Caenorhabditis elegans: one gene and its partner. The protein of the gene in region 2 interacts with the protein of the main gene of each other region in a pairwise test. Each region holds a gene or a part of one and is shown on either strand. Other genes may lie near its edges. The genes, in order: prp-21 and repo-1.

Region 1 (17,725 bases), on a different chromosome or scaffold from region 2:
AAAGCTAAAATTCATGGTTTCAAATTTCCTAACTAAAAATAACCTGTAATCGTTGTGGAGCATACGTTTTGAATACCAAAAATGCGGTGAAAATCGTCAGGGTATGCCCGGACACTATCAAATCTCCACACAGCTCACGAGGACGGAGCTGCTCTATTCCAGCGCTCCAGAACATTTTCACAACTCGACCGGCTACAAGTTCCAGTGATGAGTTTGATTTTGGAGCACAATAGGTGTTTATAGATGGGACCGGGACCTGGAAAAAAGGTTTGCAGTTAAAGTTTTTTAGAGAAAAAAATTTTTGGAATTTTTTTTTCCAAAATTTCAAAGCTTTCAAATTTTCAGACAAACCTGGAAAATGGTCACACAAAGTGCTCTGAAAGAGTAAGCCATTGCAATACAAAAAAATACACGTCGAATAACTATCCATCGGTGCTGATGGGTAAACATTACTAAAAGAGCACTTATTAAAAGAATCATCATTATGTATTCAGCTATCCGAATTGCTCCGCGGATCTGAAAATTTATTTATTTTTAATTTTTTCAAATTTGACAACAAAAAATTTATTAAATTTTTTTTGATTTAATTTTTCAAAAATTTTATATAGTTTTTGTGAATTTTGAAAGTTTCGTTGAAAATTAAAAACGTTCTCATGAATTTTTAAAAAATCTAAAAAACTGAAACTGAAGCTCAATATTTTCAAATATGTGAAGAAAAAAAAATCACAAACCGGTGAAGAAAATTCTGAAGTTTTTTTTTCAGATTTTTCAAATTTTCCCAAAATTCCAAAAATTTTCAAACGCTCTTTTACCTCTGGAAAATGTGAGAAGAAAAGGTCGGGTAATGGGTGATAATCATCTGGAACTCGTTCGTGTACCCAAGCCAATGCAACCTCATTTGATAGCCAACCGACGCCCTAGAAAATTTTAATTTTCGGAAATCTTCAGAGTTTTCACCTTGAATTCTATATTTTACAAAAATAGAAGTATTAAAATAGAACTCAGTGTATCATTTTACCTTTAATATTTTTTTTCCGGGTCCCCAGCTAGTTTTTTGAATTTACCGGGTTACTGTAGCTTCATAAGTACGCAAACACCGACACACACACACACACACACACACACACACACACGGAAATTTACGACAAAATGCACAAAAGGGGCAAAAAACCTGAGTTTAGGTGTAATTTAAGGTGCTGAAACTGTTTTTTAGAAACTAGAATTATCCAAAACTAACGCATTTATTTTATTTTCTAAAAAAAAGTTTGAAAGCACCATTTTCGACAAAATGTACAAAGAATGGGGTTTTTTTTCTGATTTTTAAAATTAAACTACTTGAAATATTTTAATTTTCAATTTCAGAAACCACAAGTTTTTCCCCTCGTTAAAAATGTTATTTTAAAACTTAATATACTTTAAGGACTAGGCACACTTATTGTGTGGTGTTGTGAAATGCAATAGAAATTGAAAAAAATTTGATAAAAAATAAATTGTGAAAACCGCAGACCTCTGATAAGAGATCATGTTCAACTATCAAACCGGAAATATTCAAGGTAACAATTTTTGGGAAAAATAAAAATAATTGTTACGAAATTTTAGTGATTTCGTAGGTTAAAACTGATTTTTACAAATTTTTGGATAGCTTCAATAAACTCTACGTCAAAAATTACCCCAGAATCGGATTTTTCAGAGTTTTCTGCATTTCGTCGTGAGATCTGGTGTGCGTCGGTGTTTGCGTACTTATGAAGCTACAGTAACCCAGAATTTTTGAATGATTAACTAGAAACCTAGAAAAAATAAGTATGGGTAAAAAAAGATGAGGATTTCGAGTTTGAAAATATTTTATCAAAATTATCAGGTAAAATTATCAGTAAATAATTTTTTAAAGTTTTACATTTGAACTTGACAAACAAATCATTAATTTATTTGTTTTATTATTTTAAACTTTTAAAACTCCTAATTTTTCCCAAACTTACCACCATAGCAGTAGCCAAAAGCGTAGGCCATTTCCTAACTTCCAGCTGTTTTCCATCAATTTTCACAGAAATATCATCGTCTATTGAGTATCTAGAGTCGGGTTTAATAAAATATCTGAAAATTTTGTATAATTTTGAAGGAAATTTTTTTTAAAACTGAGTACTTTGAGCTCTGCTCATCGTGTTCGTAGGCGTGAAGCAGGTTCTCGTTTTCGGCGTCTTTTTTCATCTGAAAATTTGGTGTTTTGAAGGAATTCTGGCTGAAAATAGAGAAAAAAAAACGGAAAAAAGATAGTGAAACATAACAATTTTCTTTTAATCTTGAAAAAAAAAATTTTTTTTGAACATTTTTTTTCACAAAGTTTTGTCTTTTTTTCTAATTTTTAACACTATGAAAAATTTAACATTGAGAAAACATTTGTAACAAAAATTATATATTTCTAAAAAATTCAATCTTTCTTTTTTACATTTAGAACAGAATAAAATGATTTTAAAATTAATTGTTTTTTCAAAATTGTTTTTTCTTTAAAAAATAAATAAAAATTCCCAAAATTTCAAAACCAAAGAAAGCTATACAAGAAAAAAAACATTTTAAAGGTTGGCAAGCACATAAAATTCCGCACAAATGTTGCTATGGAGCACAAAATGTGCTCCGCCATTTATACATCAGCACCAAAAAAAAATATAAGCAAGAAAAAAACTAAGAACATTTTTTCAGATTTTCAGATCAAACATGACGTTTTTGAAGAAAAAAATGGCAACAAAATTGAGAAATTTGGCAGGTGATTTGCGATAGAAATTGGTAGATCTTGATTAAAAAATGCGTTTTTTTTAAATTGAAATATAATTTCAATTGTTAAAAGTAAAATTTTGCAAATTTTGAAAAAGAAAATTTCCAACAAAATTTTGAAAAAATGTGTAAAATTTGTGTTCGCGCGTGTGAAGTTATGTAGGCACCTTGAACCAATAAAATTATTTTAAAATTATGTACACACCGCAAAATTCGACGAATTGTCTATACATATTTTCAACATCGCGAAAAAAAATTTCCCATAATTTTCACATGATTTACACATCGCGATCCGGCTATTCGCAATGTGAAAAATAAGTGAAATTTGAGTGTAGCATGCATAATTTTCACACTGCGAATCATCTGTGGTACCAGGGGTTTGAGACAGATTTCAAAATTAGCCGAGCTCTTCAACAAATCTATTTTTCCAATTTTTGCCGAGCTCGGCAAACTCGGCAAATCCAGCAAACTCGTCGTGCTAGGCACACTCCGAAAAACAATAAAATTTTCAATATTTCTAGGAGCACCGAAATTACTTAATTCTTAACACATGTTTGATTTTTGAATAATGTATGTGTGGTCAGCCTACATAAAATATGAGTGGCCAACGAAATAAATAATATGAAAACCGAGAAATTGATTCTGAAAAAAAATTTAATGCAAAAATTTCCGAAATTTTTAAAATGTTTTATTAGTTTCCAGATAATGTTTCACCTAAGCGTATACATTTTAATTTAAATGAATTAAAATAATAATAATAGTTAAATTTCACAAAAACATGAGGTCATGAAATAACATATTAATTATTAAATTTAAAACATTTTGTTTAAAAAAATAAATGTTTTTCCTGAAAATAAAACCTTTCAGCTCACCTAACAATAAAAAACTAATACAAATGTAACTATTTTTCATTAAAACAATTTTAAATTTTGAAAAAATAATAATTTGGAAAAAATTGATTTAAACATTTTTTAATCAATTTTTTTTTGAAAACTAATGTTTTTTCCGATAAAAGTAGCTATTTTCCTATTTAAAACAAAATCTAAAAAATGTTTAACTTCAGGAATTTTTTTTTCTACATCCTAAACCAAAAATATTCCTCTATTCTAGTTGTCAGCTTCTAGCCACCTGAAACTCCGCCCGAAATTGACGCAATTTTTTTTTAGCGATTTGAACTTTCATGTATTGAGATATTTTGTGGTATTATCAATCACTATTAAACACAATTTTTGCGGTTTTATAACAACAAAAACTGTTTCTTAACTAAATTTCTGTGCTTTATGCTCACTGCTCAATTGAAAATGCCAAACGTGATTTGAGGCTAGAAAATGTGTTTCATTTGGCTGAAAATAGTGTGCTTAAAGTAAAAAATGAAATGATTTTCAAGAAAATTTCGCAAAAAAAATTAGGAAATAATTGCAAACTTTTTTTCGAAATGTTTTTATTTGAAATTAAAAGATTTTAAAAATTTCAATTAATTTTTTTCAAATCAAACTCAATATCAAAAAAATTATTATATTTGATAAAATATGCCTCAAATATACGTGGAATTCAATTTTTTGTAAAAATAGAAAACTTTCAGATGGAGATTTCGCTATAAATTTTAGAAAGATTTTCAAATCTGAACTTTTTTTTTAATTTTCACCGGTTTTTTTGAATAGTAAGAATAATTAATTAAAATTCATTTATGATTTTTTCTGAGCAAGTTTTTGAAAATTTAATAGATTTTTTTTCAACTCAAAAAAAGTTTTAAAGAATTTTTTTGAAGTTTCTTTTTTTTCCTCTTGAATTTGAAATCTTAAAATTCTCGTTTATTTTTTAAAATAAAAAAAACAAAAACAAAACTCCCTTTTATGTGAAAAAAAAACTGAACAATTTTAACTTTGAGTTTAAAAAAATTTTCTGGAAAAACATTTTGTGAAAAAAACATTTTTTTCAAAATTTTCTGTTCAAACTAAAATTTTCTCAGCTCAATCAATACAAAATATATTTTTCAAATAATGATTTCAAACAAAAGTCATTCCATAAAAACAATGTCACAAGTGTCATAAAAATTGACATAAAAATAGGTAATTCTCACTTTTAAAAAAAAAAAATTTTTTATGCACTTTTTGGGATCTGATCATTTTGGTACTATGATCACAAAAAATATTAAAAATTGTAAAAATTGGAGAAAAATAATTGGATTTTTGCAGAAAAAATTATATAAGGGGAATGGGGTAATGTGTTTTTTACAGAGCTCCATGGTTACGGAAATTGCAGCATAGAACACATAAATTTTTAATTAGAAAATTTCAAAAAAAAAGTAGAGAAAATCACTGAAAATTTGTAAGAACAAAATAGAGTTTAAAAAAATTTTACGAAAAAAAAATTTTTTTAATTTTTTTTCCAATATTAAGTTTCTGAAAGTTTGAATGATTTCTTATGTAGTTTTCCAAGTATTTTTTTTATTTTCGAACAAATTTTCAGATCAAAAATATAGTGATTCAGAAAAAATATATGACGAATAGTATAAGGAACAGTGTGTGCTTTTTGTCGAACAATTTTGGAAATTTTTCAAACTTTTTGGAACGGACAACCTTGAATTTTTCTATTTTCAACTAATTTTTTGAAATTTTCATTGCAATTTTTAGTTTCAGCACACCCTATTTTACCTCGAGAAATCAATTTTCAGCTAAAAATTCGCCAACGGCGTGAAATTAGGTGCTTTGGGATACTGTAGTTTGTGTTTGCGTACTTTTGAGGCTACACCCAAAATTTTGATTTTCGAGCTAGAACCGGGGGCAAAGCAGAAAAGGGGTAATTTCATAGGCAGCATTTGAATTTTTTATCGGAAGTTTAACATTTTCAGCGAAAAATTAAGATAATTTTCAATTTTTTTTCCTCACATTTTTTTCGATATTTTTTTTAATTTCAAAGAAATGAATTAAAGTAAAATTCCAATTACTCAATAATAAAACAAATTTAAACCCAAAATCCTAAAAGTTCACTCAACTTTTCACCCAAAAAATCAAATTTTTTAAAATTTTCCAATAAAAAATTTTAATTTCCAAAATTTCCAAAACCCCTAACAAAAGATTGAAAGCAACAAAAATCAGTCATACGCTCAATAGATTTCGTACTGGGGAGCTCACGTGAAAGGAAAAATTGGATGAAATAATTTTTTTGAAAACTTTGGGAAAAAAATTTTATCGAATTTTTTAAGTGAAATTTTAATGGAGGTTACCGGGGATTTGAAAATTTTTTTAAACTTTTTAAAAAATGATAATCGTGTTTCAAAGTGACCAAATAAATTACCAACTAGGTTTGTGAAAACTAGAAAAATTTTGAGAAAAAAATATTTTGGCGAAAAAAAAAATTGAATCCAAAAAATTTTCCAAAAAAAACATTTTTCCGCGAAATTTTCAAAAAATTTGAAGAATCAGCTAAACACTGCAGCATCAGTCATATGAGGCTCTTGAAATCGGAAAAATGAGGAAAAAGTGTGCTCATTTGTGCCAAAGTGCTCCACCCCCTGAGCTCCCCTCTCCCAGTGGCAATTTTTTTCGTTTGTGTGCTCCGCGGAGCACACATACAGTTTATTTGAACAATGGGAGCAAACTTCTTATTCCGAAATGTCAAATAGAACATTACTTTGTGGTAAGAAGGGGAGTTTTGATACCAGTTTTGACGCTGAACTTACTTGTTGGGAACTATTTTTAGGTGGCGGGAACTGCTGATTTTGGTGGACAAACAGATGCACAGACAGACTGACTACAAGTACTACTGTAATGAAATATGGGGTACAAGATGTTTCTGGGAAAAAAAAGAAATTCGGAAAAAAAAAGTGAAAAAAAATTTTTTGTTAAATTTTTTTTCGAAAATTTTTTCAAAAACTCTTAAAATGTTATGTTAGGTGGGGGAAAAAACAAAAACACATGTAAGAAATTTGGAAAACATAGTGCAATTTTTAGGGTGCAATCGAACAATTTTCAGATTGTGCAAAAAATGTTTTGTTTTTACTGAAAACGCAATTTTTTTCTGTTTTTCTAGTATTTTTTGTTCTGAAAATGTCCTGTAACAAGTAAAATTTAAAAAATCTGGATATCTGAACAAAATAAACAAAAAAATTCGAATTTATTATTTGAACCAAGAAAAATCAAGAATTTGTCTGAAAATGCCGGACTTTAAGATTTTCATATCGATTTTTTAGAATTTTCATATTAATTTTTGATTTCAGCACTCCAGTTTACCCCTAAACATCAATTTTCAGCCCAAAACTCTTCAGTGTAGTAAGATTTGGTGTTTTGGGGTACTGTAGTCGATGTTTGCGTATTTTTGGTGCTACAGTAACCCAATTTTCTGAAATTTAAGGCTAAAAGCCGGAGAAAAAGTGTCCCGGGGTAATTTGACATGCTGAATCTGAATTTTGTATAGCCATGTCTGAACTTTTAGATTTTCCACTCCAAATTTACAGAACGGTTTTTTTACAAATTTATTGGAAGAAAAGTTGAGATTTGAAGAATTAAAATTGGCGTCCAATTTTAGAATAAAGTTTGAAAGAAAATAAATATTAATAAGAGTAATAAATAATCGATAGCTCATCACTTCTTTTTTCCTCCACGCTCCTTCACTTGCAGATAAATCGCCGTCCGATCTGCCAAATTGTAGAAGGCCGAGCTCATATTATCCTTCACGAAAAGGCCATCAGACATCAGCTTCTGCTTTCCAACAGGCATTCCGTAACGATCCTGGATTTGTTGTTTGAGTTCGGACATCTGCAAAAATTATGAATTAATTGGGCATCAGGTGGTTCCCAATGGGCCATTCAACAAACAAATATTTTTGCATAAATACCTATCTTTTTGGAACTCTCTTGCCAAGTTGTTCAGTAAACCAGTGTCAGCCGAAACGTTTACCAAACGTATTTGTTCCCTGCCCCTTGACACTATGATGTGATCTCACTTATAGTTTTTTTTCCCCCATCAAAGCTTCTGTAAATAAGTCTTTCATACCCCCACCCTCATTTGGCCACGGACCTTTGTCCAATCGGTCATCTTATATTTGTTCGCCTCTTACCTATTCTTTATGTTTATTATCAACTTACTATTCAAATGGTTTAAAAGCGAATAAATAAATAAATAAATAAATAAAGGTGAAAAAATTCGTTCAGGGGAAAAAAACAATTTTCTTATCTAAAACTCACCGGTGCAGTAACTTGAATTGTAAACTGCACAATTGAGCCATCCATTCCGTGTTCGGGAGCCTGTGGAAGATGAACATTAAGCGAAATTGCTCCGTTGACCTTTTTAAGCCAATCAGCTTCTGGTATCAAATCATCTTCGGTACGAGGACGCTTCGCTGGAGGTCCACCGCCAAAGTCCATTTGTCGGATTGGAGGAAGCTGGAATTATAGAGCTTTATGCATTTTATTGGAGCTTTTCATGAGAATTTCCAGTGAAAATGGGAATTTCTGTGTCCGTTTGAGATGAAATTTACATTTAAAAAAATTTAATTTTGTGGAAATTTCAGTAATTTTAATCTTAACACAGTTTCCAGTTAATTCCGCCGAAAAATCGTCTAATTACGCGGTTAAAGATAACTTTTGGTGGCGTTTTCACTATTTTTCAACAAAAATATAGTTTCAGCTAACCTGGTGTAGCTTTTTCTTATTTTTTTTTAAACAGAAATACACAAAAAACCACTTCTTTATATTTTTCGAAAGAAATACAATATCTCTCTGAAATCAGCAAAAATTCGCGATTTTTAACCAATTTTAACTAATTTTAAAATGGGTCTGCTTGACTACAAACTACAAACTCGATTTAGCAGACCCAAGGGATTTTGAAGAGATTGGGTCTGCTAGACTACAAACTACAACTTTCGATTTAGCAGACCCAAGGGATTTTGAAGAGATTGGGTCTGCTTGACTACAAACTACAAACTCGATTTAGCAGACCCAAGTTGTTGTGAAGCGAATGGGTCTGCTAGACTACGAACTACAACTTTCGATTTAGCAGACCCAAGTGAATTGGAATAAATTGGGTCTGCTTGGCTACAAACTACAAACTCGATTTAGCAGACCCAAATTGAAAATGTTAGTTTTCATGTTTAATTTGGGATTTTTCGATTCGTTTTTGCAATACAAAGAGAATTGGTCCAAAAATTGACAATTTTTGTCGAAATATCCGATTTTTCCAGGATTTTACATGAAAAAACGAATTTTTTTTTGGAGATTTTTCAACTCAAAAATCCCATACCGCTTGATTCGGCATCCCAGGCATTCCCATTGGTGGAACCGGCGGCCATCCGGATGGCATTTGTCCAGGAATATTCGTTATTCCTTGAGTAATTGTCACATTTCCCTGGGTCGATTGATGACGTGGCACCTGCTGAGCTCCAATCTTTTCCTTTGATGGATCGGCAACGAATCCGTGTTGACGGTGGATTTCGTTGATTTGTTGGTCTGAAAAATGAAAAATGATTAATTTTTTTGCATAAAAAACACTGAAAAGCGAAATTTCGGTGAGTTTTATGACGGGAAAATTGTAAATTTTTAGCTCAATTTTCAGCCAAAAATTGGAAAATTAAACATAGCTTTTGCATCTCCGGTGGCAACTGTGCTTTATTGCACAAATTGTTGGTTGGAATTTTTGGGAAAACTTGGACTACGGTATATATTGCCCGTTTCAGCCGAGATACCAGATTTTTTTCAGATGGAAAATATCATAAATCCAAAACTTGGCACGGTTTTTGTTAGAGGAAATTGCTTTTTTTTTGAATTACTGGTTTTTCATGAAAACTCGAATTTTTGAAACATTTGAGTGTTTTAGAGAAATTTCTACATAGAAAACCACACAAATCGTGTAATTTTCCCAAACAAAATCCCGGAAAACTCAAAATTTTCGCCAAAAAATTAGATTTCCCGTACCCAAAGTGACTTTATTCTGTACAGCTCGGGTAATCATATCCCGAGTCTCTTCAGTTCCATCCCAAATCAGTTTGTTCTGCCCTTGTTGCGAATTGTCCTCTTCGCCGAGCTTCTTTCCGATCATAGTCTGCTCTCCGCCGACACCGAAGATATCCGTACGACGTTCAGCGAAATTGCCAAGATTTCTGAAAGAAAAAACTGGGGTTTAGTGATATTGGCACGTGGAAAAATGAAAATTCGTCTGAAAATCTATAATTTTCAGCTTTGAACATCTTTTGTGGGCATTTGTAATCGGAAATTTGTCTGAAAATCTTTAATTTTCACTTTTTACAATTTTTAAGACATTTTTATTCCAATTTTAGATTTAGCACTCTAATTTACTCCTGAAAATCGATTTTAGCTCAAAATTCACCACTGTCGTGAAATTTGGTGCTTAGGTGTGCTGTAGTCAGTGTTTGAGTACTTCTGGTGCTACGATAACCCAAATTTTCTGAAATTGAGCTAGAATCTTTCCAGGTCTAATTTGAAGCACTGATCTCAAATTTCGAGCGAAAAATGCGGAAATGAACAAAATTTCCACGAAAAATCGATTTTTTGTAGATTATTGTGGCGATTTTTAGACTTTTGTTCGTTTTTCAAAGAAATTTCTGAAATGTTAACCTAGAAATATCAGCTCCAAGAGCCAATACGGGCTCCTCCGTGCTTCTTTCTCCAATATGACGATCTCTGTCCTCTTTATACTGTGAATCGACAGTATTGTATCTGACGTGCTCGGCGAGCTTATCCGATGGAATACGCTCTCCGGTGAGCGGTGAAATGATCCAGTTCTCCACAGCTTTTGGCTTTTGGGTCACATTTCTCTTCGGATCGTAATCTCGAACAATCACGTCTTTCTGTTTTGTAGGTGGCAGCGGAGCAGTGAATGCAGGGGCTTCTGGTGCTGAAAATATATAAATATACTCATTTTTAATTTAAAAATTTGAAAAATTAAAAAAAAATACTTTTCGTATTTCGGGTGACACGTGTGCTCTATTCCAATAATTGTTGGTCAGAATACGGTAGTTTTTGCACTTTCAGCCGAGAATATCGATATTCATACCATCAATTTGGATAGAAACTCACATGTCCCAAAAATTCATTAGTTTTCCGAGTTAAAATTTGCCAAAGCTAATAAAAAAAAATTGATTTTTTTGGGTCTGCTAGACTACGAACTACAACTTTCGATTTAGCAGACCCAAGTGAATTGGAAGAAATTGGGTCTGCTTGACTACAAACTACAAACTCGATTTAGCAGACCCAAGTAGTTTCTACAGAGAATGGGTCTGCTAGACTACAAACTACACATTTCGATTTAGCAGACCCAAGTTGTTTTGAAGAGCTTGGGTCTGCAAGACTACAAACTACACATTTCGATTTAGCAGACCCAAGTGATTTGGAAGAGAATGGGTCTGCTAGACTACAAACTACAAGTTTTGATTTAGCAGACCCAAAAAATCTTACTTTTTAACTCAAAATTGCGATTTTTGTTCGTTTTCTACGAAATAAAATGTGAATTCGCCTAAAAATTTTAAATATTCCAGGTTGGAAGCACTTAAATTTGAATTTCAGCGTTTTCATAGTTTGCCATTGTTTTCCATCTATTTTAAAAGTAAAACTGTTGGAAAAAACCGGAAAAAAGTGAATTTTGTCTATTTTCAACGTAAAATGCTCCAAAAAAGCACCTTGAACGGCATCTTCGTCATCGGAATCACTCTCTTCCATATCCATTTCCTGCATTTCAGCCGCCGCCTTTTGCATTTCATTTCTCGCTTCCAAAAGAATACGGGCTCCAACGTCCTTTGGTGTGCATAGTGGTGGAAGCTGAGAAGTATCTCCTGGCTGGAAATCTACAGTCTGAACAACTACAAAGTCATGCCAATCGATTGATGCATAGGCTTGACGCTCTTTCTCGGCTTCTGCCTCCTCGCGATCTTTTAGACCTTTTTGATGTTTTTCCCAGGATACACGATAATTGATATCTTCTATGAGACGTTTTTTGTTGGTAGCATCGTCTTGGAGTTGGGCAACTACGTTGGTAGAGGGCACCAGAACCTGAAAACTGATATTTTAGCAACTTTTAGCTTAAAAATTTCAAATAAAAGTTATAAAGCTCACTTTTCCGCCATCTTTAAACTGAAAATAGTGAAAAAGTTATCAAAATGTTTTTTTTTTGAGTTTTCTACCGAAAAAGCTGGATTTTTTTTGAGTTTTCAACCGAAAAATCTAGATTTTTTTAAAAATTCTTAGAAATACGCAGATTTTCTTGATTTTTACCTTCTGATATTGATCAACGAGCTTTGTGAAGTATGTAAAGTTGCAATGAGCCGGTTTCAAAAAGTCGAATTGATAATTTCTGGCTTCTCGTGTCATCAATTGAGTCAGAAATTGACGGCCATTTCGTGCAACGAACAGAGCAACGAGTCGGATCAAATCTCTGCAATTTATAAGGTTTTCACTTCATTTTAGGTTAAAAATAGCTTTTTCATCTAATTTTAGTTCTAGAAGTTCTAAAAAACTTACAAATCATAGGCGTTAATCGTGGATGGATCCGCTGAGAACTCGTAGGCCGGCGGTGGAGCTGAAGGCACAAATTCAGCCTTTTTCACGTGCTCTTTCACTGCTTGCGGTACTTTCGGAGCCTCAACTCGGCCTTCTGAGAAATCGTAGACCATCTTTTTGTAGTAGGCATGGTATGGGTCTGTGATGGAGAGAAAGTTGAATTTCGGGTTTTTCGCCTCCTTTTCGCGGATTTTATTCTCAAAGTCCACTCCATTTTTTGCAGCGAAACGGGCGGTTTTGTCGACGATTGCTGAAAATTGAAAATGTATTGCTTATTTTTGGAAAATATCGATTTGCCCTAGTTTTTGCGGAATTCCGCGTGAAATCTTTCCAAAACCATGCAGAACTGTTTTATTTTTGGTTTAAACTATAAAACTTACTGCGAATATCCGGCGGCGGGTAGATTAATCCAATAATCGCACGCCCTGACAACGAGGGCTCGTTGTTCATCGAGTCCTCCTCGCGGTTTGAGACAACTGCAGTCATTTTCTGCAAATTTATAAGATAAATAATTTGAAAATTCGTAAATTTCGCAAAAAATTCAGGAAAATTAATAATTTAATTAAAAATAGAGAAATAAAGCAATAAACTGAAAAATAAACGTTTTCGAATATTAAGTGGAGGTTACTAGGCCACTACAGAACTCGACCATGACCAAATTCAAATTTTCCCGGTAGGTTTTTATCTATTCTTTATTGTTTTCGACATAGTTTTTACTGCTGTTACGTTAAAAATGTTTTATATTGTGTAAAAACATAACAATCTGTAAAAAATTTACAGTTTTCTCTATACAAATGAATGCTAAAAAGTGATGGCCTAACTTTTTCCACTGTATTTCTTTCTTCGCTCCACTGAGAAAAATAATTTATTTAGCGCAATTTCTTAACGAATTTCTTCGATTTCCAGTTCAATTTCAACGATTTCCCTTGTTATAACTTTCAAAATAATTAAAACTCAAACGGTTTCAGGTAACAAAATGACTGAAAGTCCACAAATCTCGGTCAGCTTCGTGTCAGAGGACGAAAACGAGCTCGGAGGATCGGGAATCCTTGTTCCAGTGGACATCTCCACGAATGAGCTGCAAATTTTGTGTAATCAGCTTCTCGGGAGCAGGTTTTGTTTGAATAATGAATTTTCTGTATCTCATCCTGAGTTTTCAGTGACGATCCTGTGCCGATTTCCTTCTTCACCACAGAAGGCGCTGAAATTGTCGATTCCATTCGAAAATCGTTAGAGGAAATTGATTTTGAGACTGTAAGCCCTTGAAAGAAGATAGAAAACTTTTTAAAAAATTTAAAATTTCAGACATTAAAGCTTGTTTATCAGCCACAAGCAGTGTTCCGTGTGAGACCAGTTACCAGATGCTCCGCTAGCATTCCAGGTAATTTTTTGATCGTTTTGACGCATTTAAATATATTTTTCAGGTCACGGAGAGCCAGTAATCTCTGCTCAGTTCAGCCCTGACGGACGTGGTCTAGCGTCGGGCTCCGGCGATCAAACAATGCGAATCTGGGATATTGAGCTCGAGTTGCCTCTCCACACGTGTAAATCCCATAAAAGTTGGGTTCTCTGCATCGCCTGGTCACCGGATGCTACGAAAATCGCTTCGGCTTGCAAAAACGGAGAAATTTGCATTTGGAACGCGAAAACCGGAGAGCAAATCGGAAAAACGCTCAAAAGGCACAAGCAATGGATCACGAGGTGCAGGAAAATCGCATTTATCACTGAAATGTCTTGAAAATTTGGGTTTTCTACAAAAAATCGCCGTAAAATTGTATTTATCACTACAATGTTCTCTTAAAATTTCCATTAAAACCCCACTGAAACGATGTATTTTTACTGAAACCCTTTTGAAAATCACTATTATTTGGGTTTGCTAAATCGAAATTTCTAGTTTGTAGTCTAGCAGACCCAATCACTTCAAAATCACTTGGGTCTGCTAAATCGAAAGTTGTAGTTTGTAGTCTAGCAGACCCAAACTTCTTCAAAACCACTTGGGTCTGCTAAATCGAAATTTGTAATTTGTAGTCTAGCAGACCCATTTCGAATTCCAATAATTTGGGTATTTTAAATCGAATTTTTAATATTTTCTATGAGTTTACTTATCATCCATAGTGGAAAAATGTGATTTTTAACAGAAAGCTTCAGAAAACCCGAGTTTTTCTCTCAAATATTAGCCAAAAATTAATTTTTCAACATAAAAACTAAACATTTCCATTTCAAATCGAATTTTTATAATAAAATTTTTGCAGTTTGGCATGGCAACCGATGCACAAAGACCCGACGTGCAGGCTTCTGGCTTCTTGTGGAAAAGACGGAAATATTTTCATTTGGGATACCGTACAGGGTACTGTAGTTCGCTGTTTGAGTGGACACACTGCTTCGGTCACCTGTCTGCGTTGGGGAGGCGAAGGACTTATTTATTCCGGATCTCAGGTAACTTTTTGCAGGAAAAGTTGTGAAAAATCTTGAAAATATTTTTTAAAAACGTTGAAAATTCAACGACGGGGATGTCACTTTGAAATGCGCAAACTGATTTTAAACACCGAATGATCACAAACGAATCCGAATTAACTTAAACTCGCGCATATTTAAAAAATAGTTCGAAAACCATGAAAATCGCATAAAACCTACCGTAATCAATTTATTCTCCTAATTTCGAATTTTTTTAAAACATAAATTTCAAGCCAGACTCCTTCACAATAAAAAAAATTTTCAGGACCGAACCGTAAAAATGTGGAGAGCCGACGATGGAGTAATGTGCCGAAACATGACCGGACACGCTCACTGGATTAACACTTTGGCACTGAATACAGATTATGCGTTGAGAACCTCGTGCTTCGAGCCCAGCAAGCGTTGTATTAAGCCGGATACTGTGGAGGAGGTAGAAAATTGGATTAAAATCTGAAAATTTGGAGTTTTCCGTTTTTTTTCCATTAAAAACCTTTAATTTTAAAATTTCTAGAACTTTTCTACTGGAAACATCAATTTCCTACTCTAAAAACAAGAAAAATTGTAATTTTTTATATTTTGGAGGTTTTCTTCTTTTTTTCTCTGGACAATTTCTGTTTCCTACTTGAAAGTCTGAAAATTTGAAATTTCATTTCGATTTTGACTAGTCTACATCTTTAGGTTTTCATGCGGCAAAGTTCCAAATAACAAATTTCGCTAAACTGTATTTATGCATAGAAACCTAAAAATTTTAATTTCCTATTCAGAATATGCCAAAAAAGTACTTTTGGTCAGATTTTTCCAAAATTTCGAATTTTACCCTTAGCAGATTGTTGTTTCTATTTAAACGCAGCAGTTTCTATATAGTTTTCAGCGATTTCACGAAAATACACTGTAAATTGAATTTCCCCTTTCGAACTTTGAATTTTTTCGATCTGAAAAATGCCAAAAAAGGATTACTGTAGCTTGTGGAGCCGTTTAAAATAAACTTTTGTGACTTGTGTGCTTCTATCCAAATTGATGGTATGACTATCGGTATTCTCTGCTGAAACATGCAATAAATAACGTATTCCAACCAACAAATTGTGCAATAGAGCACATTTGTCACCGGGTACGCGGACGCCATGCTCAAGTTTTCGATCGGTACAAGCAAACTGGAAACTTAACAATTGCTAGGGCTAAAACCTCCAAAATTCACAATCTTCCAATCAAAAAACATCAAAATTGGATTTTTCAGTGTCAAAAAGTGGCTCAAACTCGGTATGAAGCAGCTCTGGAAATTGCCGGCGGCGAACGTCTTGTTTCCGGATCCGACGATTTTACACTATTTATGTGGAACCCGAAAGAGACGAAACAATCGATTAATCGAATGACCGGACACATGCAATTGGTGAATCAAGTCGTTTTCTCACCGGATACACGTTATATCGCCTCCGCCTCATTCGACAAATCAGTGAAGCTCTGGTGTGGAAGAACTGGAAAATATTTGGCTTCTTTGAGGTAGAAATGCAGAAATTACCGAGAAATCCCTGAAAAGTTCCTTAAAATGATCTAAAATAGCAGTTTTTCTTTCAAAAATGACATTTTTAGTATTGGAAAACACGAAACACACAATTTTCAGTCAGAATTACCTACTTTGAGCCTAAAACAGGAAAACAAATTTCGTACAGCAAAATTCCTCCTTTATGCACTAAAAATGAACTACAAACTACAAATTTCGATTTAGCAGACCCGAGTGGTTGGGTCTGCTAGACTACAATCTACAAATTTCGAACGATTTTCGAGAATTCTCACTTGAAAATGGGTCAAATAATTTTTCAGCCGAAAACTTCCTTAAATTTACAATTTTTCAGAGGACACGTTGGCCCAGTCTATCAAGTTGCATGGTCTGCCGACAGTCGTCTTCTCGTCTCCGGATCCGCCGATTCCACGTTAAAAGTGTTCGAATTGAAGACGAAAAGTCTGTACTACGACCTTCCAGGCCACGGAGACGAAGTTTTTACTGTTGATTGGAGCCCCGAGGGAACGAAAGTTGTGTCAGGTGGAAAGGACAAAGTTTTGAAGCTCTGGAGACAATAATTATCCAATCTTGCATCTTTTTTGTTATTTGTTCGTTTAAAAATCGTTTTTTTTTCTTGTTTTTGTTCTATTTTGTTGATTTTCAATAAAAAAATTATGTTTGTTCCCAGGTTTATAGTTAAAAATATAAGCTACAATTTGACTCACAAAAACAATAACTTTAGTCAAGTTTCGGCGGAGATTCGGTTGAAACTACAGTGTGGGAAAGTTCTATAGGACCCCCCCTAATTTGAAGGTTTGAGGAACTTCCGAAAATTTTTTTGAAAAACTGCTAATGCCATTCGTTTTTAAATTGAAAAAAACCTATATACATTTTTTTCCAGAAGTTTATCTCAAAAACTGAGGTCGCGCTGGAAAAAACGTCAAAATCCAGTGTGAAACTTCTATAGGACCCCCCGTTTTTTTTCACGATTTTTACTAAAATCAACAGATTTTGGAATTTTTGACAAAGCTCAAATCAAGTTTGAGTTAGAAATGAGTTCATATAAGCAGTTTTGACTTTAAAAATTAATACGAAATGTTCTCGTGGGATCTCCAGACTGGTTCTGATTCTTCCGATCTTTGATGTTCAAGTCTGTTTCAAGCTTCCTGGTGCTCTCGGTAATGCCAAAACTTGATAAACTCTCTTTAACAAGTTCCTACTAAAATTCCTAGCACACACACCATAAACATTTTTACGCCATCCCCAAGAAACCAGTCAGAAACAGCGTATTAACAAGTTGCAGTTATTTTTGATCAACAACAGAACATTCATATACTAAAATCAAGAAAGGATCAATAGTTAATCGGGTTTCCTTGTGTGCGGATGATCTCAAACAGTCTGTCCTCCATTGATCTGACCAAACTTTTCAGCTGGTTGTCCGGAATAGACTTCCAAGCGTCGAGAATTCCTTGCTTCAACGATGCAACTGTTGGGTAAGT
Region 2 (12,938 bases):
TCCGAAACCACGCCTATTTTTCCGTGCCGCACTTTTACTTTTTTTCAATTACAACTCAAAGTTTTGGTATTTCTCCGAAATTTCAAAAACAAATTTTTTCTAGATGTAAAAAAAATATTTATTTCAGGTTAAAAATTTTAAGGAAATTAATTTTTTTATAATTTTCCTTCTTTTTCAGATTCCTATCTCTTCAAATATGGGACGATCAGAGCCGGTATTCTGATTTAGACATGTTTTGTGACGGACAACTCATGGGAAAAGACTTTTCGGTTCGCTTTGTTTGGATGATGAAGCGCCGTGGTCAACCCAAATCTGAACCACTTATAATTCGATATCATATGACGAGAACATGATCTTCTTCTATCGATTTCTTCTTTCTTCTGAACTTCTCAAGAACAAATTCCCAGTTTTACCATGTTTTAGTACTGTACCATGTATCTCTATCTCTATATTTTGTCTCATTTCCTATGTTTTCATATTTATTAACTGCATTTTTTTTTCAAAAACAACCAAACCCCAAGATGAATAACACGTGTCTAATTAAATTTTTTTGTTGGTTTAAAATTTCTTCGATTTGAAAAACGTGAAGTTTCTTCTTCTGGAGAGAGATTTTATCGTCACCTTCAAAATATCCGCTTATTTCCTGTTTTCACCAGCCACATTTTGTTCTGCTTTTCGATAACATAGTGTTGGTAAGTGAGAGAGTGAAAGAGAAAGGTTCTCAGTGGGGCGCACTTGACGAATCCAGCTCACAGCGTTTACACCATTCCTTTGAAAGACATTGCCGAGTGGATTTGCAGACAAAATGGGAGTGAAAGCTGTGCTTGGCGATCTGCAAATCGTCGTGGAACGGCATTCAGACGTCTTACGGAATAATGCGTTACCGTTCAGATTTCTTGTTGTGCTACGAATTATTGGTGAGTTTTTGCCAATAATTATTATTACCCAGACGTGAGATTTTGCGATTTTTGGGCCAAAAATACCGTATCTGGTTTCAGCACGGCAAATAAAAATGCGTGTGCGCCTTTGAAGTGTACTGTAATTTCAAAGTTTTAGTTGCTGCGGAACTTTTATCGGTTTTTCGATGAAAATATATTTATTTATTAAAAAATCTTGAATGAAACGGTAAAAAACTAATAAATTTCAACCAATTGTGAGGAACGCTGTGAAAAATCGATAAAAATTCCGCAGCAATGAAAGTTTGAAATTACAGTACTCTTTAAAGGTGCGCGCCTTTTCGCATTTTAATAAAATTTGTCGTGTCGAGACCGGGCATTGTTTTTTTGTTGCAAAATCGCAAAATTGGACGCGTAGCTGAAATAAGGCTCCAAACTTTATTATTTTTATTATTCTCATCAAAAATTAGACATTTTTGTAAAATAATTATTTAATAGAGTTACAAAAAATCAATTTTCCAGGCTATATTATCTCATATCTTCACTTTGCACGTCTTCTTTTATGGCTTCACCCTTATCAAATTGCTTCAATTGAAGTATAGAACAAAATCTTCAGAATTAGAAACAATTTCATTTTTCCAGCTTTGGCGTATCGCGACAAGCACATTCTGCGGTCACAATGTACTCGACGTTCTGTGGACAGTCTGGTGTCTTCATTTCGGAACGAATCTCGTCCGTCTCAACAATACAAATGAGTCTCTTCTGAAGCTTTATGCAATTACTCAGGGTGTTACCACTTTTGTCATCGTAGTCTTCGCATATCTCACCTACATTTTATTCGATTCTATCAAATTTTTCTACATTGAACCACTTGTTGGTATGACTCCGATTTGTGCGTCGGTTATGGTTCTCATGAAGCAGGTGGGCAAACACATGAATCTGAAAGAAACTGAATATTTAATAATGGCTCTTTTCAGTTTCTTCCTGACACCATTGTCCTGGCAACACCACTTGGACGTATTAAATATGCTCACCTTCCATTCTTGGCCATATTTGTCTCATTTATTCTAGCTCTCACCAAATTTACTTACTTTGTAAGTTTCTATAAAATCAAATGGAATAATTTAATTTTTCTTGATTTAGGTGTCATTTCTCCAAATCACCATCGGTGTTCAAGTTTCTTGGACCTATCTTCGCTTCTACAAACCCCATGAAACTGACGAAATCTATGGAGACGGCAGTGAGCACTTCACGTGGGCCAGCCTCTTCCCGTCTCGCACTCAACTCTTCTTCACTCTCATTGGAAAAGTTTGCTTCAGAACCCTTGCTCGAATGGGCGTCTGCAAACGACAAGTTCGTCATGTTGATCTTCACTCTCTACAATCAGGATCCGTTGGAATCAACTTGCCTGCGCTGGAGAATTCTGCAAAAGACTCGGAGAGACGGAGGTAAATATTTGATTTCTTTGATTTGTTCCAGTTAAAATGCTAATTTTTTCAGACAAAAAGCATTGAAAGAGTTGAACGATCGATTGAACAAGACTCGAACAGCAGAAGTTGCCAGCTACGGAAACTGGGACGATGGTGACGATGATGAGCCGACTGAGGTTACTGTAGTTGCTCCGCCCCCTGTATCAAATGTACATTCTTCAAAACCAGCCATGGACAAAGAATCAATGGCATAAATAGATTTTTGGGTTCCTTTTTTATTAACATTCATTAATTATGTATTTCTTGGATCTCTAGTTTCGACTACTCTCGTTTATGTTTTCTTTCGCTTCATTTTGCTTCCTTGTTCTTCATGGGTGTTTTTCATTTATTGCCTTCTTCCCTCTCTGTGAGTAATTTTTGCATTTATTGTATTTTTCTCTGTGATAGTTTTTTGTTTGATGAATAAAATATTAGATTTAAAAAACTGTTTTTATAGTGATAAAAATAACAAAACAAAACAAATCAACAAAGTTATAGATGAAAACAAAATATTCAAAAACCTATGCCATCAGACGTCCCTTCTTTGCAGCCTTCTTCTTTGCAATGGCTTTCTTCGCTGACTTCTTCAAGGCACGACGATCATTTTGCTCAGTTGTTCTGAAAAGAAAAACAAAATTATCCGGTGACCAACGGAGTGCTAGTTCAATTAAATTACACGCACACGGAGGGCCCACGCTCATATAGCACTACAAGTACCGCAGACGGTAAAGTTCCGAAAGCAGGTTGCAGTCGTGCAAGCAGTGGGGGTCGAACTCGTGGGCGCCGACCTCGAGTACAAACGCACACCCAACTGCGCTACGCTGAACGATTTAAATAGAGAAGAACCGGGCAATGACATTGCGCGCGCGGGCCCTTTGACAAAATGCCACATATTTACAAACCTTTCTTTTTTGGTGGAGAACTTGAACTTGTGCAATTTTCCAGTAATTTCATTCTGGTTCTTCTTTCCGTGAGATGTTCGCTTTTTAGCAGTTTGGATCTTCTGAAAAACAAATTATAAATTGAAGAACTATTCGAAGAAAAAAAACAAACCGTCAAATGTCCCTTCTTCATAACTTTTGTAATGCGCAAGTCGCGTTTTTCCATTTTGATAGTCTCCATGCTCAATGCAAGACTCACAGAAGAATCTTGTTTGAAATTGACAAACGCGAATCCTTTTCCCTTTCCAGTATCTTTATCTCTGACAATTCTGACAGCCTCGACAGGTCCGATTTGTGCAGAGAAAAAAGTAATGAGAGCATCTTCGGTAATCTCGAACGGCAAGTTTCCAACAAAAATGGCCATATCCTTTCCAAATTCTTTCTTCTTACTTCCAACTTTGTCAACACGAATCACATGATCGTCCAGCTTGGTTCCATTGTACTTCAGAGCTTTCTCCACTGATTCTTCTGCTCCGAATTTCACATAGAACGTGAGAGAACTCTGTTTGTCATTCAATTTTCCTGTCAAATGAGTGACTCGTTTCGTCAATTTCTCATTCGCAGGAAGCAGATTTCTCATACGGACAGAGGAAATAGTTCCAAAGTCGGAGAAAATTCGACGGACTGATTTCTCGTTCATTGTCAATGGCATATTTCCAACAAAAACAGTCAGAGCATTTTCAGCAGCTGAAGCACGTGCATTTGACTTTTGAAGAGTTCTATTCTCTCTTTGCTTCGTTCTGTCTCGCTTTCCTTCCTTATTTTCATCTTTTTTCTCTTCTCCTTCTGTTTCAGGTGCAACTTCTTCAGCAGCAGCAGCAGCATCAGCTGCCTTCTCTTCTTCAGCCTTTTTTTTTGGATCATACTTTCTTCTTTTAGGTTTTTCAATTACTTTATCTCCCTTCACAACTTCCTCTTGTACTGCTGCTCCTTCTGACGACTTTCCGAAGAGACTTGATAATCCACCAGCCTGATAATTATCAGGTTCAGAGACTGGAAGACTTGGTTTCTGCTTCTTGATTTTCTTCGGAGCTTCTGCAACGGCTTCTGCGTCAGCGGACACTGCTTCAGCTTTTCTTTTGACAACCTTCTTCGCCATCTGAAACTGATTTTTTAAACTATGAAAACTATAATTTTAATTGAATAGACATTGTAGACGGATCAGTCAACCTATACTTGATTTAAATAAAATATCATCATTAAAAAAAAGGAAAATAATTTATTGTTAGATCATCGAAAAACACGAAAAAATTGTTTTGAATTTTGAAATCAAAAAGATAAAAACATAGAGTATCAATAGTACGGCTGATCATCGAGTCGTTCCAATTTGAATGCGACTTGTAAGAAGAATTGCTTCGTGTCTTTGTTCCACATCGTCCAAAATTTTTCAGATTTGTCAACTTCTCTGGAAAAAATTACTTGGTATATACAATTTTTTTAATCGTAACTATGAGATAGAAAAGTGCTAAAATGTTGTAAAGCCTCACCTTGATGGAATTTTGAATCCAATCGTTTCATACGGCTCAGCAGCAAACAAGAGGTATTGCCATCTCTTGTCTGGAGGCTGAATCTTTTGCTCATAAGCAGACATAAATCGATGACGTGGCGCAATACCGTCAGCAATCTCCGGATAATCAATTTGGAAGAGAAGTGCTTGCTGGCCAGCTCCTGGATCACGTTCTTTTGTTACCTTGTATCCAGGACGTCCGATTTTCACAAACTTTTTAGTTTCAACTGCAGCTTTCTGTGGAGCTGGTAGAAATGGTTGTTCAGATTGTTCTTTAGCGGCACGCCGTGCAAGATTCGCTTGATGCTTCTTTCCTTGTGTATGTGCCAAATAAGATCCTTCATTGTTGTGAAGAGTAAGACACAGCTTGCATTCGTACGTTCCAATGTGATTTCGCATGAAATACGGATCCTTTTGAAGATCAATTGTCTCTAGAGCCAACTGGCGGAGCCGTTCCCGTCGATCAACACCAGCATCGGCGGCCGAAGCCACTCCTCCGCTTCCCGTTTTTCCTCCAGCTCTGTTCTGAAAGTCCATCTGAAAGAAAAAGTTTAGATGATTGAATATATTATAAATTTAAAATAAAATCGAAAATATATAAATATCCGAAGTTAAACGGATCATTAAAACAAAAATAGGTATTAGCATTAAACATCGAATGATTCACAATTTACTCATTTTCGAAAGACCAGGTTAAAGATAATGGAAAAGATTAATGAAATAATAGAAGGGCACGTGAATACACCCGAGAGGCAGGCAATGCTCACTCGAATAAATTGGAGGGGAATTAATTATGGTAGAGATTTAATTTGAATAAAAATGGACAAAGAAAAATAGGTGAGTATCACGGTAGCCGCACTTATTTTGAAAGTTTTCTTTCGCACAAAGGGGTTTTTGACAAGAGGAAAACTGGTGGAAATTATGATAAAACGGATTTCAGTTTGAAATTATAAAATCGATAAACGGAGGTAGATTGGAAGAGGAGGATGGGACATCATTTAGTGTCCATTGGCAAGATTTCCATTCGATTTGTTGAGGGTTCCATTAACAATTGTATTGTTCGAATCGTCAGCTGTTTGCCATTCACGTACAATTTGGGTAAGTTGGGCTGGTAGATTTTCGCGGTTCCATTCGTCCCTGAATAATATTTAATTGTTAAAAATAAATATTGTTTATTTTATTCTACATTGTGACTACAATTTTTTCGGGATTTTTCAGAGAATATCGAAAATATCAAAATAGGAAAATCACGGAAAAGCCGAAGAAATGTACAGAAAATTACGAGCATTTTTTCAATTGAATTGAAATTTTTTCAATTAACCGGAAATTATTGAAAATTTCAATTTTTTTTCAAAATAACGAAATTATCAATTTTTGAAATTTTCAAAAATATAAACAACCTTCATAATAAATGTTTTCTATGTTTTAAAACGTTCCAAAAATCCTTAACATTTCCTTTTAGTTCAAACAAAAAGAACAGCGAGGTAATAAAAAATCATATAACTCACCGGAATCGTTCAATTGTATGTGATAGAACAGAAGACAAACGTTCCAACTCGCTGACTGACCAACCCTCCGACTTTTCGACACAACACTGAATCAGCTCGCATGTTGCTGGCTTCGAAACTATCAATTCTTTCTCAGCAATCGAAATTTGCACGGAAGGTGTAGAATCTTTAGAAGCATCTTTCATCTCGATATCATGTTCACTGTTTGGAGTTTCCTGATTTTTCTTGATTTCAAGATTTTCTACAATTGTATCTTCTCCTGCGTCTTCAACTGTACTATCTTCATCGTGCTCTTCAGATTCGCCGGTTTTGCTTTTCTTTTGACCCTTCTTCTTTTTGAGCAATTTCTTTTTATTTCCAGCAGAAGCTGGAACTCCATCAGTTGATGTGCTCGTTCCTTCTTCACTTTTCATATCTTCTACAGGGACAACAACGAGTTCCAATGTTGGAGCAGCTACACCAAGCTTGCTCAACATTTTTTGATTTTCAGCTTCACGCTCTGATGTCCATTGCTCAATTTCTTTTGCAAGTGAATTGGTCATAGACCACGCCTTTTTTCGGGCAAAACCTTTGGGAATTTCTGTGAGTAATTTATCAGAGGTTGGAGTTACTCCAGCGTCTTGTAGCATTCGTGAAACTGTTTCAATTCGTTCGACAAACGATTCGTCAAGTTCACACTCGATCAGATCATCAATTGCATCTCGAAGTGTATTTGCCATTTGACGAATCAGTTTTCCGTCTTTTGTTGTCGACGGATTATATTCGAGAGCATTCGTTTGAATCAATATCAAGTCAGCAACAAATTTGTCCGCATGATTATATTCGCAATTATTCAGCTTTTCCATAATATCCTGCATACAAATCGGTGTTTCGATAATCTCATAATAGTCCTCAGCCTCATCCGGATCCACGGGCTCGACAAATTCAACGAATCGACGATCTCGCATAAGACGTGCTGAAAATATTCAATGAGGTTGAGCATGCGGAATATTAAAACTCACTGAGCCTCTCTTTGAAGAATAATCTCATTTGTCGCTGCAAAGCAGTGTACATCTTCAAAAGTTCTCTTGTCTCGTCATCATTGAGCTTTCTAGAAGGCTTCGAATCGGGAGAATCGTCATCTGGTAGAGGCATCTCATAGACTGTTGCTGAAATATGGACAAAGGATTTAAAATTTTTAAAAAATTGTATTTCGTTGAGACTTACGATCAAATACTTTTGGTGGAGTGTTAATCTTCTCAATAACGTGCTCGAAATATTTTTGACGAATTGTTCGGCGGGAAGGATTCAAACTGAAAATTATTATATTTTAAAAATGTTCTGAAAACACATTTCTAGTTATACTCACGTGATACAGTTTGCATGTCTGAAAATTTCCGTGACATATTCAGGCGCATCTTCAAACGAAGTGTCAAGCGTCGATAGGAAAAGAATCGGCGTGAAACCAGTCATTGATTCCAGACATGTGATAAGCATATGTTGAACTGATACAGGAATGACTTTAATCCATTCATCGATTGATGGAAGAAGCATGATACATGGGCCGGTTGCTGATGCACGCATTGCCGACTGAATTGCATTTGAAAATGCTTCTTCTGGACGTCCATCTGTTAAAAGACTTGAAACAGAAAGAGAGAACACCGGTAGATGATCCAGTTTTGCTAGAATGGCGGGAAGAACGTAAGACGTTTGTCCACCGTCCGCGAGTTGCTCAGATCCACATAGAAGAAGACGAATAGCAGGCACGGTTGGATTAGGTTCCAATGCCCTAACAACTTGTTCCAGTTCGCTTGAAGCTGTCGCCATTGCATTTTCCACGCATCGATATCCTTGTGGAATTCTCAACGAAATCAAGTTGCTCACAGTATCTCCAAGTAAAATTGAAGTTCGTTCATCCAATGGTCTCGATGGAATTGTAAGATCTCGTCTGGAAGCAGGTGTGATCCTCCGCATTGCATGTCCAAAATGCTCAGAAGTGATTTTAATGGTGGCAACGTCGAGTTTCAGCCTTTCAGAACACATGTAGATATGAGGATATCGAGATCTCAATCCAATAAGAACTGCTTCTGTGCACAAGAATTTCAAATCGGCACCGCAATATCCACTAGTTCTCTCTGCAATAGCATCGAGTGTTTCCGGAATCGGTTTGTTTTCCTCCCATTTGGAAGTGTGAATATCTAAAATTTGTCGTCGGGCATTCAAATCAGGAAGGGAAAAACGGAGTTCCCTATCAAAACGTCCTGGTCTTCGTAGAGCTGGATCAAGAGTATCTAATCGATTTGTAGCTCCAATTACAACAACTTCTCCTCGACCATCTAATCCGTCCATCAGTGCTAACAATGTACTCACTATGCTCGCATGAATTTGATCTTGTTTCGAAGAACGAACTGGAGCTAAACCATCGATTTCATCAAAAAAGATAATTGATGGACGCATGGCATATGCTTGATCAAACAATAGTCGAAGTTGTCTTTCAGACTCTCCGACCCATTTACTCAAACAATCAGCTCCTTTTCGCATAAAGAATGCAACTTTGTTGGCTCCTCTTCGGCATTCATTCGCAAGAGCACGTGCAACAAGAGTTTTTCCGGTTCCTGGGGGCCCATAGAATACGACACCTTTTGGCGGATTTATTCTGAACTTTTCAAATACTTCAGGATAAAGCATTGGGAAAAGGACAACTTCTTTGAGAGATTGAATATGATGACCGAGTCCTCCAACTTGATCGAAACCAACCGACGAATCAACACTCATTGGATCAATGTCACTTGCACCTTGACCAGCATCAGTTTTTCTCATTCGATCCATCAGAATGTGTTGGGCAGACTGCAATTCTTTTTCGGTCATATTGATCGGCATAAATCGACCACGTTCACGTTCTCCACGGTTATGCATATGAGGCCTCGATTGACGTTTATCAGGTCTCGGAAGCACCATATCATCACTATCAGAATCCGAATCGCTTCGTCTTCGACGAGATCCATTTCGATTGCGGTGATGTCTGTTTTGATTTGCAACCCGATGATGTTCAAGACGAGCCCGTCGATTTTCACGAGCTTCTGATGCATTGAACTGGACAACTGGTTGACGGCGGCGAAGACTGTATTGACGTGGAGCAGTTGATTCCTCTGAACTTTCTGCATTGCTGCTATCATCCTCTTCTTCTTCTGGATCTTTTTCACCGCTTTGCTCATCTTCTTCAGCGCCTTCCTCCTCTTCTTCCCTTCCAATTTTCTCAATCAAGTCCTCATTTTCTTGTTCAGCCATTCCATCAATTTCAGCAATTGGTAGCACAATCTCGCCACCTCCTTCCATTGGCAACGGATCATCTGCTGCTAGATTTTCCTCTGGTTGCTCACTTCCAAGGCGCTTGGCGGCTTTGCGAGTCCTGCGAACCGGCGACTCTTCCTGTTCTGAAACTGAAATTCGCTTATATTTTTGAAATTATGCGATTCGTGTACCTCCAAGTTCTTCGTGCATTGATGAACGTCTTCTGGTGCTACGTCGAGTTGCACGCTCGGGGACTGTGTTCTCAACGTGCGCCGCTTCAGCAAAATCTTCCTCTTCCTCGTCAGACAAATATATCCGCTTTCGTTTTGCAGGCGGCACTTTTTGATTTCGCTTGGATTCATCTATCGCCTGCATTACTTGTTGTCTGTATGTCATCGAATTCGAGCTTCTAAATTTTAACAATTATAATATTTTTTGTCAAAATTATCAAAAAACCTTCGAGTTCGATATCGTCTTTCATCTTCCTCGCTGCTAATTGCCTCATGATATTCCTCTTCGTAATAACGATTGTGATTAATTTTCCGTCCGGAACGTGTGTACCCATTTCCATCTACACCACCGCTGCTTCTCTGTAAATAGTCAATTTAAAAATGTATATGTTTTGAATTAACTCACTCTTCTGCTTGATGGTGCGTACATGTCATCAAAATCCTCGTTGCACTGACCCGCATACGAACGCGAGTGATCTCGAGCAGATCTCCGCAAATTTTTGCGCGGAGAAAATCCGTCTGAGCGAGGCATCTCTGAAAAGCTGAAATTTTCGAAAAATCGATAATGTAACAAGTGAAAATGATACGTAAAAATTCTTATTTTAATTTATCGAGATGAGAAAAGATAATAGTGGAGGAATAAGTAGATGTTTTAATCTAAGAATTCGGCTTTTGTTTTAAAATTATGGGAGAGTACAGAATGAAGCAGTAATCGATGAAACCGAAACTACTATATTTCCATTACGAAAAACGAAAGCTAAACTGTAAAAATCGGATGCATTTTATACAGAAAACATTTTCGAAAATGAAATCGTTGGGTGAAAAGTAAATGTGGAAATGAGAATGGCTGGAGAGAGCGAGCGATGGGAGAGGCAGGCACGAGGCGGGGAAAAGTGCATGAGAAGAGTGTAAATGCGCTCTATGGAAACACAAAATGAGAACTAGTTTAAAATTAATTTCTATAGACTGGGGAATTTAAATTCAAGAAAATTATAAGAAAAATAATCAATAATCAAATCAATTTGAAGAAAAATGGACGAAAGGAAAATTGTGGAAATTGACAATATTTACTCACTATCGTTGGCTAACCGAATTTCGAAATAATTAGAAAAAAATCTGATCAAAACCAATATTTAAGTTTAAAACCAATAAATTGTGAACAGAAGATACTCAGGATTTCATGTGGCATCAATTTTCAGATGTTTCACACAGTAAACTCTGAAAATTTTTACCTAAATTGAAATACCGTCGTTTTCTACGTATAAGGATGTAAAAATAATGTATTTGTGAAGGAAATTAAACAATTTATCGCAAAAAACGCATGCGCAAAACAAATGAAAACTGGAAAAAAGAAATCTGAAGACTACTGTAAGCATTTCAAGACCCAAGAGTTATTTTTGAAAATGTTCCTGTAAAGCAGGCCCAGAAATTATTTGGTGTCGTGTTTTCTGCGTTAAAAGCTTATGAAAATAACTTCAAAACATACTAAAAATTAAATTTATACCTATTGAACGTTTTTAATCGTAATTTATCTTTCCATCACGCCAGTGAAAGAAAAATTCTGATTTGAAAAAAAATAGGTGTAATCGCGCTCTATTGGACACAGACAAACTCTGAAGATTTACACGTAAACTATGCGAGTTTTTCGTTAATTTTTTGTTTTTATCTTATTTATTATAAAATTAAAGATATAAATGAATTAAATAATTGCATTAAACAATTTTCCGAAGCTGTAATTCTGAAATTATTGTCTTGAAAATATGTTATTGCCTCGTTTTCAATAGCTTTACTACAAAAATGCATCGTCAATTTGTTGGCTTTCTCTTAAAATCAATTAATTTCAGCAATGGGTGAATTCACCAATATAATCACTGTAATTCTTCTCATCACTCCATTTATTCTATGTGGAGAGTACGATTTTACAGTCGAAGTTCCTGCCGGAAAATTCCAGTGCTTTTTTCAACCTGTGGATCTTGCAAAACACAAAACCCTCGAAGTTGATTATCAGGTATTTTATAATTCTAAACCATTTGCTGCATTTTAAATCTTGATTTCAGGTAATCGACGGTGGTGACTTAAATATCAATTTCATGATACTTCACGGGGCGAACATTCTGAAGCAGGACCAGCTGAAAGTCGACGGATCCCATCGAATTGAACTGAATCAACCAGGAGATTATCAAGTCTGCTTCGATAATTCATTCAGTTATCAATCTCGAAAAGTTGTATTTTTCGAGATATTTTTGTTTGATGCACATGGCAACCTCGACGAAGCCGATTTATCTGCAATGGCACGTACTGATTCTGATCTTTCTGCAAAAATGAATGAACTTGGAGTTACCATTGATGAATTCCATGTAAGTTTAGATTTTAATCGTACGTATTTCTTGTTTAAAAGCCTTATTTATTGCTTCTGTTTTTCAGCGACGAGCAAATGGAATCAAGAATAACCTAAACAAAGTGGAATATCATCAAGCTCTTCTCAGAGCTCATGAAGCCCGAGATCGCGCAGTCATGAGCGCAAATTTTGATCGTGTCACATTCTGGAGCGTCGTTCACACTCTCGTGATGGTCGGTGTCGCCGGAGTTCAAGTCTTCATGATTCGATCCCTTTTCGAAGAAAACTCAAAAATTGGAAAAGTTCTCCGAAAAGGAAAATTTGATTAAATTTTCCCAATTTTGTAGTATCTATTGTTATTTATCACCGATGTTTTGTTCCCCTCCGAATCCCTTTTCTAAGTCATAATTTTAACTCAAATAATAATGTGCATAATTTATCAAGTTATGGGTTTGTTTTTATCTATTTTCCAGATTTTTTGTTGGGCGCTTGATTATATTCATTGCAATCGATTTTTTGTTATCAAGTATGTTTTTCTCGTTACCATATGAAACATTTTGATAATTAATCTTGTTATCATTCATTGTTTCGATCTTCGTATTTAAGTTGAACAAGCATTATTAAGAGAGAAAACAGATTCTGGACCTTTTTGTGAACAATGGGGAATTTCATGCATACTTTATGCATATTGCAGGAAAAAATAAGTCAAGCTTTGTATACAACTAATAAAAACTTTATTCGAATAGACATAAAACTACAAGTAACGATATCCTTTGATT

What was found.
Region 1: the proteins of repo-1 (region 2) and prp-21 interact in a two-hybrid assay, tested with the Caenorhabditis elegans proteins (2 studies listed by BioGRID).

Annotation. Positions count from the first base shown.
Region 1 is NC_003280.10:479,904-497,628, reverse strand, and holds prp-21 (uncharacterized protein), read right to left. Parts: upstream 12,764-17,725; 5' UTR 12,761-12,763; coding exon 12,655-12,760; intron 12,525-12,654; coding exon 12,236-12,524; intron 12,150-12,235; coding exon 11,990-12,149; intron 11,768-11,989; coding exon 11,398-11,767; intron 10,617-11,397; coding exon 10,337-10,616; intron 9,862-10,336; coding exon 9,677-9,861; intron 9,212-9,676; coding exon 9,006-9,211; intron 8,748-9,005; exon of another isoform or gene 8,665-8,747; intron 8,150-8,664; coding exon 7,952-8,149; intron 7,524-7,951; coding exon 7,350-7,523; 3' UTR 7,226-7,349; downstream 1-7,225. Other genes in the region: sms-5 (Sphingomyelin synthase-related 2), read right to left, coding at 44-256, 352-516, 813-917, 1,977-2,091, 2,141-2,205; gldi-1 (NLE domain-containing protein), read left to right, coding at 13,251-13,387, 13,435-13,528, 13,580-13,655, 13,699-13,975, 14,527-14,710, 14,994-15,158, 15,963-16,225, 16,579-16,804.
Region 2 is NC_003282.8:12,076,890-12,089,827, reverse strand, and holds repo-1 (Splicing factor 3A subunit 2), read right to left. Parts: upstream 5,351-12,938; coding exon 4,794-5,350; intron 4,712-4,793; coding exon 4,600-4,711; 3' UTR 4,508-4,599; downstream 1-4,507. Other genes in the region: Polycomb group RING finger protein 3 homolog mig-32, read left to right, coding at 179-353; F11A10.6 (Transmembrane protein 115), read left to right, coding at 806-917, 1,419-1,492, 1,539-1,817, 1,874-1,990, 2,040-2,344, 2,397-2,580; rbm-34 (RRM domain-containing protein), read right to left, coding at 2,887-2,983, 3,268-3,368, 3,419-4,405; lex-1 (Tat-binding homolog 7), read right to left, coding at 5,812-5,950, 6,322-7,276, 7,323-7,469, 7,528-7,613, 7,670-9,740, 9,783-10,000, 10,048-10,181, 10,228-10,353; tmed-1 (GOLD domain-containing protein), read left to right, coding at 11,668-11,829, 11,879-12,178, 12,246-12,488; K08E4.7 (BTB domain-containing protein), read right to left, coding at 12,914-12,938.